Caenorhabditis elegans: one gene and its partner. The protein of the gene in region 1 purifies or fractionates together with the protein of each later gene. This does not show direct contact. Each region holds a gene or a part of one and is shown on either strand. Other genes may lie near its edges.

Region 1 (4,852 bases):
AAATTTGCCGTTGGTATGGGACATATGGAGATTTTTATCAAGTTTTCACACTAACAATCACTAGTGCATTTTTGAATTTTTCTGCCATTTGGAAGGTGGCAAAATTGAGGACGAAGTCGGTTAAAAATTCGATTGAGCTGAACTGGCTGAAGCAGGTATTGTTATTACGGAAATGCAAAAAAATGGGTCTCGTTAGGTATTTAGCGGCGAAACCTGTAAATTCGAACGTTTTTCCGTCATTTTTATTGATTTTTGAATCGAAATTGATAATTTTTTTAAAAAACTGTTCATCTTGTTCAATTTCGACGTAAAAATATTTGAAATAACAAAAAAAGATATTTAATTGAAAACGTTTGAATTCACGGTTTTGCCGCCAAATACCTAACGAGACCCAGCTGTTGGGGGCGGAGCATTTTCAATTGCCCGTGGAGCGCGTTTCCACGTTGATTTCAAATGGAGCGTTTTTCTGCGGCCCCATAATAAACTATCATCGCAAATTGCATAAAAATGAAACTTTCAGTCCTTGAGCCAAACTTTGTTTGTACTAATAATTGTTTGCTGTTTCACATGGGGACCTCGACTGCTGCCTGACAAAAAATTCACATTCATATTTTCTTCAATTCTATGGGCAGCAGTTCATTGCTTCGATGGGTGAGAAATTCAATGAAGATTGTGAAAATTTCAAATTTCAGAATAATAACCCTCGTTTTCAACTCTGAAATTTGGCGTAAAATCTTTTCTACAGGCTCCGCAGTTATCGTTGTCAGCACTGTAAGGACAAAAACCGCTTGTAAAGTTGCGCCGATCAAGTTCAAGTCTCCACATTAGTCATTAATCTGAAATCACACCATCAATAAACAATTTGCCGGAAAAATAATTTATTTTGGCGTAGCTCGAAATGTGTTTAAAAATTGGTAGAAATTTTGCAATATGTTCAGATTTTTAAAAGCAAAAAACAAAATCAGGCCAAAATTGCGTATGTGTATTTGTGAGAGATGACAGGAGTTAAATGGAATACAGAAGAGAATTGCAATACGTATACAAAATATATCAAAAGAGGCATAGGTGTCAATCGTTTGAAAGTTTTGGTGGGTGAACAGTTGAGAGGGGATTCAGAATCCAATACGGGAATAAATTAGGATTAGTTATGGGTATGAGAGCATTGGGACTGGAGCATATGTGTGGGAATCCACAACCTTGAGGGTATCCGGGAGCATTGGGATCGAGGCGACATGGAAGAATACTCTGGAAAAAAATATTAAAAATCGATATTTCTTTGCAAAAACTCACTCATGAGAATACTTCTGGCGAACGGATGTGAGTTGAGCCCACTTGTCCTTCGAAAAATGAAGAATGTGGTTCATGTGCTCCACCAGTGGCATCACCTCCTCTCCAGTGAATCCAGAATACTTCTCGAGCACTGGATTCCACTCGTACTCATTATTCTTGTCGAGCATACGCATGGCCAAGACGAAAGCGGCGGCGGCAAGACGGGATTGTGAGACCATAGCGTATTCGTAGACCATCAGTGATGTCTCCAGAATGAAGCGTCCCATGGTGAGTGTCTTCATATCGACACGACAGACACGACCGAAGCGGCGAAGATACCGATAGCTCAGTGGTGAGCCGAGATCATATCCGACGGTGGCGAAGAGTTCACGCTCCATGGCAAGAAGCTCATCGCGGGAGAAGCGATCTCCGGAAAGGTAGATGAGATCATCGACGAGTGGTGGAGATCGCTCATCGTACTTGGCGGCAATGAAGATGGCGACACATGCAAGCTTCTGAAAATTTATTGATAAAAATAATAGACTACTTTGGATTTTATCTCACCTGAATGGTGTTTTTGTCAACATTCTTCGTCTTGCACAAGTACATATCCGTGAGCTTAACGGCGTTGTAAAGGGTCTCGTGGTTGAGCTCAAATGTCTCCTGAATCTCAACCATCCAGTCAATGAGGATAGCACGAGTCTTGACGTCAACCTCCGGATGTTTGTGAAGGTACTTTCTCACTCGAAAGTGAACTTCTCGGTGTCTGTAGTAGTCAAAAATCCCTTGAGCATAGTCCGAGATACTGTCCGGGTTTCCGGCCTCCTCGAGGTCGTAATCGTAATGAGGACACGGATCAACATATCTGGACTTTTGCGGTGGAAGGTTCTCGACGTCTCGTCTACTCGTTCTCGACTTTCCCAGTGGATCTCGCTTTGCCGAGTCGATTTTAAATCCAGAGATGTGTGCGCGGAGCTCGGTGAGACCCTGAAACAATTAATTTGAGAAGGCCCAAAAAATCGATAATCCTCGTTCTACCTTGCTGTGTTGCTTCTTGGCTGCCGGTTCCGATGGATTCTTTAGAGCATCCAATTGCTCAGCCTGCTTTCGTTTTTGTTGATGCCGAGAATCTGCTGTAAATTAAAATTTAAAATCTATAAATAGTTTTCGAGGAAATCCGCTCACCTTGTGAAGTCAGGTCGACATTCTTGGCCTGGCTTCGCAGCATCATTTTGAATGCTGAAAATACTGAAATAAATTACATTGAAAGTGGGGAAAATGGAGACAAAATATTAAACGGAAACTGCGAAGCGATGAAACCAAAAAAATGATGATTTTTGGGAGCAGAGAGCAAATGGCAAACGATGGTGAACACTGGAAATTGCCGCCCTCTTGGTGGGTCTCGCGGGGTGTATTTGAAATTGCCCCCCGTTCGGTGGAGCGCACATGCCTCGGAGTACGGTCGGCGATATTTCTCACTGTCGACAAAAATGCTTAAAAGTTCAGAAAAAAGTGATTGAAAAATTTGAAAGTGAACTGGGTTTGATAGAAAATGTGCTTATTGATAAGAAAATAACATTCAAGTGTTTTGTATAAACTCCAAAAATGTGATTTGCTGTCCTCAGAAATATTGATTAAAAGAAAATCAGATATTTTAGGGGTTTTAAAGAATGAAAAATAGAACAATTGTTTTCAGAAAATAAAATACTTACAATTGTTCTTTTAGAGAATAGGTTAACAATTGAAAATAAGCTAAATGTACTCAAAAGTGATTCAATAATGGAAAAAATGATAAAATTGCAGAAATCGCATTCAAATCTGCCGCTTGTTCGGCAGAGCGCACTTGCATTTCTCATTTTTATTCGCATTTTTTCTTGTAATTTTACTTTTGTTCTCGCTAAAATAGAGTTATTTCCCAATTTAACCTTAATCTGCGCTTAATTTCTCGAAGAAATAATTATTTTCGACTTATTTCATCAATTTTTCAGGTAAAATGGACTGCTACGTGGGAGCAACCACTGGCGCTCTGAAAGGAGCAATTTTGAAGGAGAATACCTTCCAAAATCTCAATGAAATCAAGTCCCTTGACCCGAAAAGCGATGAGATTACCTCGATGATCTGGAATGACGAGCAACAGGTTAGTTATGGTCGATAAATTATTTTAAAAGTTGAATTTCAGACTGAAATCCTGATCGCTCGAGTAAATCGGGATCTGCAGCTACTTGGCATTGAAGAAAACGAACTTGTATCGATATTAACAGTTACCGGAGGCACTGGACCAATCAAAGGCCTGCATAAAGCAGAGTAATCATACAAAAACCGTGGTTTCAAATCTCAAAATTAAATATTTCAGTGAAAAAATCGTCACTTGCGTTGAAAGCGGCGAACTGCAAATCTGGAATGACAAATCTGAAATCTTGTCCGAGTGGAAGACCGGTCCAGGAGTTGCCGTCATGCGGGGATCCACCGAGAAGCCAGAAATCGTCACGGGCGGTATGAAGAATCTTCTGAAAACGTGGAATTTGGAGACCGGCCAGCAGACGTGGAGCGCTAAGAATGTGCCGCCCGATATGCTCGGATTGGAAATTCCTATCATGATTACAGATGCAAGATTTATTCCAGGACAGAACACGATTCTCGAGGCCACAAAGCTTCACGAGGTGCTTTTCTACTAAAATTAATAATTTTAAAAACGATTTTTCTTTTCAGATGCGCCTCTACGATCCACGCGCTCAACGCCGACCCGTCAAGAAGATCCCATTTATGGAAAATCCGATAATGTGTACCTCGCTCACATACAAAACCAATCAAATACTCGCCGCAAATTCCATCGGAGAAATGGGACTTTTCGATTTGCGCAGTAAAGTTCATCCGATGTGCAAGTTCAAGGGACAAGCCGGATCTATCCGGAGCATCACAGCTCATCCAACACTGCCGCTGGCTGCTTCCGTTGGAATTGATCGATTTTTGAGAGTACACGATTTGCAATCGAGGAAGCTGATTCATAAGGTTCGAGAAATGACAATTTTCGGCTGAAAAAGAAGATTTTCGCGAACTTCATCACGTTTTACGTGGAGTTTTGATTTCAATTAAGCAATCAATCCGTGAATTTTGCACAAATCAAAAAAAAGAAGATAACGAAACAATTAAAATTGAAACTTTATTGAAAAATCTACAAAAAACAGTGAAAATCAGAGAAAAACCCGTGCTGCAAAATTGCGAAATCATGCTCTGTCTCTATTTCTGTGCGGCACTGTTTTTTTTCGTGAAAATTTACAAAAAAAATCTCTGAAAACCAAGAAACCCTCAATTTTTTCAGATTTACTGCAAAACGCGCCTGAATCGTGTCCTACTCCGTGATAATTTATCAATTTTGAACGACAAAAAGCCTGCATCGAAAAAGGAGATTAATGAGGATGAAACGGAATACGGAAATATGACCAAAGATGGATATCGATCTGAAAATGAGGATGACGAAGATGATGATGACGTCATTGAGGAGGATGACGTGTGGGGAGTGATGGAACCGGTGAAAAGGGCGAAAAAATCATCCGACGACGATGTGGAGGAAATTCAAATTACA
Region 2 (3,798 bases), on another chromosome or scaffold:
ATTCGAGAGAATGAATAAATATTAAACAATACCTTCCCGGTAATAGTTTAAAATATCTTTCCTAGACTGATTCTTCTCATAAAGATCAGCTTTGTCCATCAAAATAGAAACCTTCGAGTGATGAATGTAAATGTTCTAAACACAATTATTTTGATTTATTCTCTAAATTGTATTTAATCCTATATATAGGGATATATCCTACCGGTCCCAATTCTAATTGACGTGCAATTGGAGACCACGAACGATAAGTGAATCCCCAGTAAAGATCATCGAGGAATTCTACAATCGATGGGAAGAAGAAAATTGCAAGAATAATCTTAATAGCTCCAGTTAGATTAGTTTTCGTTACCTTAGCTTACGTGCGAAATGTTAGACAGAGAAATTACGAATATTGGAATCACTGCAGCGATCATTCTTCAGAATGGAAAAATAATAATAATGAATTCTTAATTCCCTATTCTCATTTACACGTTGAACAAAGTGCTTGAATAAAAAAGAGCATGAAAGTAGAGCGAATTTATTTATCGCGGTGTGAAAAAAGAGATTACTCATGAATATCGAAGGGCCAAATAATCATCGTACAGGTAAAAAGTTGAAATGGTGATAGTTAAACAATACACGGAAGACGATAGGTGGTTAAAGCACGGGAGAATAAATAATAAAAATGATGATGAATGAATTACATCAAAAGAGTTCGAGTTCTCCTCGGTAATTTCCAGCTGGCAGCTTTGACGTATCCATGTTGTCAAAATAAGGATGAACGAGAGCTTTTTTCGCGTTGAGACGAAGTGATGGATCGTAGATCAGCAAACCCTGAAAATATTATTTTACTTGTTAAAGTACTATTTTAGAAATCTTACTTCAAGAAGAGAGAATGCAGTATCGTCCAAAAGGTGCTTTCCAGTCTTCTTGTCGTAGAACTTGTCACGGAGGAAATTCTCACGCCATTTTGGGAACGTCGCCTTGTAGTCCGGAAGTGATTCAACACCATTCCATTCCAACTCAGTCGGTGTGCCGAGAACTCTGAAGATGCGGAACAGCTCATCAATTTCTGAATCTCCTTGAAACAGTGGCTTCTTCGTGGCCATTTCAGCAAAAATGCATCCAATCGACCACATGTCTACGCCCATCGAGTATCTCTGAGCACCCATCAGAATTTCTGGAGCTCTATACCAGAGAGTGACAACCTGAAAACCGGACAATCATTGTATTGGTGTACAGAATGAATGCAAACTCACTTCATGCGTGTAAACGCGAATCGGGATACCAATAGCTCTGGCAAGTCCGAAATCGGCAAGCTTGATTGCTCCATTGTTGTCGACCAGCAAGTTCTGTGGCTTAAGATCGCGATGAATAACACGACGCTGATGACAAAAACACATAGCTTGAAGAATCTGGAACAATTATTCTTGTAAAGACATCGATTTTAAATATTTCCTCACTTGGAATGTGTAACTTTTAAGAGTTTCGAGCGGAAGGTATTCATCTTTTCCCAACTGATCCATGTATCGTTTCAAGTCGAAAGACAGGAATTCGAAGATCAGGAAAAGCCGGTTCTCCTGCATAATGACCGCTTCCAATCCAACAACATTCGGATGCTGGAGCTCTTTGAGCAAGCTGATCTCTCGCACAGCCGTTGATGGAACACCCTATAAGAATTATTGTTTGAAAAAACGAAACTGCTACAAAATTCAAATACCTCATCTTCACTTTCCAATCTGATTTTCTTCATAGCAACCATGGCATTGGTTCTTCTGTTTTTGCCTTTGTAGACGACTCCGTATGTTCCTTCGCCGATTTTTTCGAGCTTCGTGAAATCGTTGAGTGTGTAAACCGAATCTCCCTCGTGGGCCACTTCTCCTTCGCGAATAGGATCCATAACTAAAATTGGAAATGAATTTTGTCAGAACAATTGTAATACAACGATAGAAAAGGCGTAAGCGTGTAATTTTGAATCATTTCCACTGCCGCCGAAAAGGGGGGACAGTCGGTGCGAGACCATTGCTTAGTGAAAAGGCATGCACCTTTGATGACAATTTATTCCGAAAAGGAGAGTACGCGCTGAGAAGGATTGTTGTGAAACATTGCATTCATATGATAAAATTTAACGCAAAACTGTGCAGAAAAGAGAATAAATACAGGCCGGAAAATATAAAAATAACTACTCAAAATAATCATAAACTTGATTTGTTCTACTTTATGAGGCTTCCAACAAAACTAAACAGAGTTTCAAAGAAAAATCGTAATCTTGGCTTCGGAGGGTGGATGGCGAGAGTTGCTGCCCCGAAGACCATAGAGAGGTAATTTTTATTATTTAATTTTACATGATGAAAGCGAAATTTGGCAAGTAAGCAACGAATGCATTTTTAGGAAATTATTTATTCAGATAAATCAAAAAATAGAGCAGATTCCTTGAAATCCTAAAAAAGTGAGGACTTCGATTCTGTCTGAAGATGGAAGTTGGCGCCAAATTTTTGGCTGCGTAGCGACTCATTCTTCATTGTGATACGCAGCCAAACAACGTCCTTTCAAAAAAATTCGCGCATTTGATTTTCTCTCGATTTCTATACTTTTCTCAGGTTTGTACAGTGTTTTTCTTGCTAAGATCAATATTTTATTAGAAATGCATCAAATTTCTCAATCAAAACAATTTTTTCCTGCAAACCTTTTTTTCCAAATTTATTTTTTGAATTTCTCGTTGGAAACTAGTTGAAAATGCTAAAATAATTGATAAATCTTTGTTGCAGTATGTCCGAAGATCATCACGACGAGGAGCAATTCGACTCTGCCGAGTCCGGAGCTGCTGCTACTTTCCCGAAGCAATGCTCGGCTCTTCGCAAGAACGAGCACGTCATGATCCGAGGAAGACCATGCAAGGTAAAAAATAATTCAGTGAATTTTCCTAATTAGAAATTTTTTAGATCGTCGAGATGAGCACCTCCAAGACTGGAAAGCACGGACATGCTAAGGTTCACATGGTTGCCATCGATATTTTCACCACCAAGAAGCTTGAGGATATCTGCCCATCCACCCACAACATGGACGTCCCAGTCGTCAAGAGACGCGAGTACATTGTAAGTTGTTAATTAGTTTTTAAGAAGGCTTTCAAAAAAATCAACTTTGGACGGTTAAACAAATCTTTTGAAAAATGAGTTAATCAGCTGTAAAAAATGTTATTGATCAAATTTTCAGCTCATGTCGATCGAAGACGGGTTCTGCTCGCTCATGGATCCAGAATCTTGCGAGCTCAAAGACGATCTCAAAATGCCAGAAGGAGACTTGGGAAACACTATCCGTGAGGCTCTCGAGAAAGACGAAGGAAGCGTCTTGGTAATTATTTCGACATCCACCTTTTGAATCTGAAAATTTTGATTTTCAGGTTCAAGTCGTTGCTGCCTGCGGAGAGGAGGCTATTCTCGGATACAAGATTTCTACCAAGGAATAATTGCATTTATATACAATTTCATAATAAAAGCAGTTCCAGTTTAATCATCCCGCTTTTTATACATCATTCGAAAAACATCGGGCAATGAACAAGTGCACCTCCGCTGGTGTTGTGTAATGTGGGTGTTTTATGTGTCGTGTTGATTGTGATATCTGCTCACCAAACGAAAATGAATTGCTTGCAAACCGCGGAGGTGACATCTGTCCATGGAGTGTTAAATCAGATTCAGTTGTCAGACTTTGTAATCACAGTTCCTAGTTTTTGGAACTACATGGCCTGTGCAGCTTTTCCACCCTTTGTACACTACACCTTATTGCTTATTGAGTTGACCCCAGGTTGGCCGCGTGCCAATA

Evidence for each region.
Region 2: the proteins of cyb-3 (region 1) and cdk-1 purify together in Caenorhabditis elegans (affinity purification with western blotting, with the first as the bait; one study listed by BioGRID). This does not show direct contact.

Annotation. Positions count from the first base shown.
Region 1 is NC_003283.11:15,393,361-15,398,212, reverse strand, and holds cyb-3 (G2/mitotic-specific cyclin-B3), read right to left. Parts: upstream 2,518-4,852; 5' UTR 2,501-2,517; coding exon 2,455-2,500; intron 2,403-2,454; coding exon 2,308-2,402; intron 2,257-2,307; coding exon 1,834-2,256; intron 1,785-1,833; coding exon 1,291-1,784; intron 1,246-1,290; coding exon 1,146-1,245; 3' UTR 865-1,145; downstream 1-864. Other genes in the region: fbxa-199 (G-protein coupled receptors family 1 profile domain-containing protein), read left to right, coding at 1-155, 521-651, 693-828; T06E6.1 (WD repeat-containing protein 74), read left to right, coding at 3,263-3,406, 3,449-3,573, 3,623-3,929, 3,979-4,278, 4,589-4,852. UniProt on the Caenorhabditis elegans protein: Could be involved at the G2/M (mitosis) transition. Interacts with the CDK1 and CDK2 protein kinases. G2/M cyclins accumulate steadily during G2 and are abruptly destroyed at mitosis. Plays a role during oocyte meiosis II.
Region 2 is NC_003281.10:9,745,555-9,749,352, reverse strand, and holds cdk-1 (Cyclin-dependent kinase 1), read right to left. Parts: upstream 1,882-3,798; 5' UTR 1,880-1,881; coding exon 1,700-1,879; intron 1,650-1,699; coding exon 1,443-1,649; intron 1,395-1,442; coding exon 1,239-1,394; intron 1,188-1,238; coding exon 861-1,187; intron 814-860; coding exon 685-813; 3' UTR 501-684; downstream 1-500. Other genes in the region: T05G5.4 (uncharacterized protein), read right to left, coding at 33-135, 203-316, 360-413; iff-1 (Eukaryotic translation initiation factor 5A-1), read left to right, coding at 2,200-2,300, 2,748-2,877, 2,922-3,074, 3,193-3,330, 3,380-3,445. UniProt on the Caenorhabditis elegans protein: Plays a key role in the control of the eukaryotic cell cycle. Required for entry into S-phase and mitosis. Acts as a component of the kinase complex that phosphorylates the repetitive C-terminus of RNA polymerase II.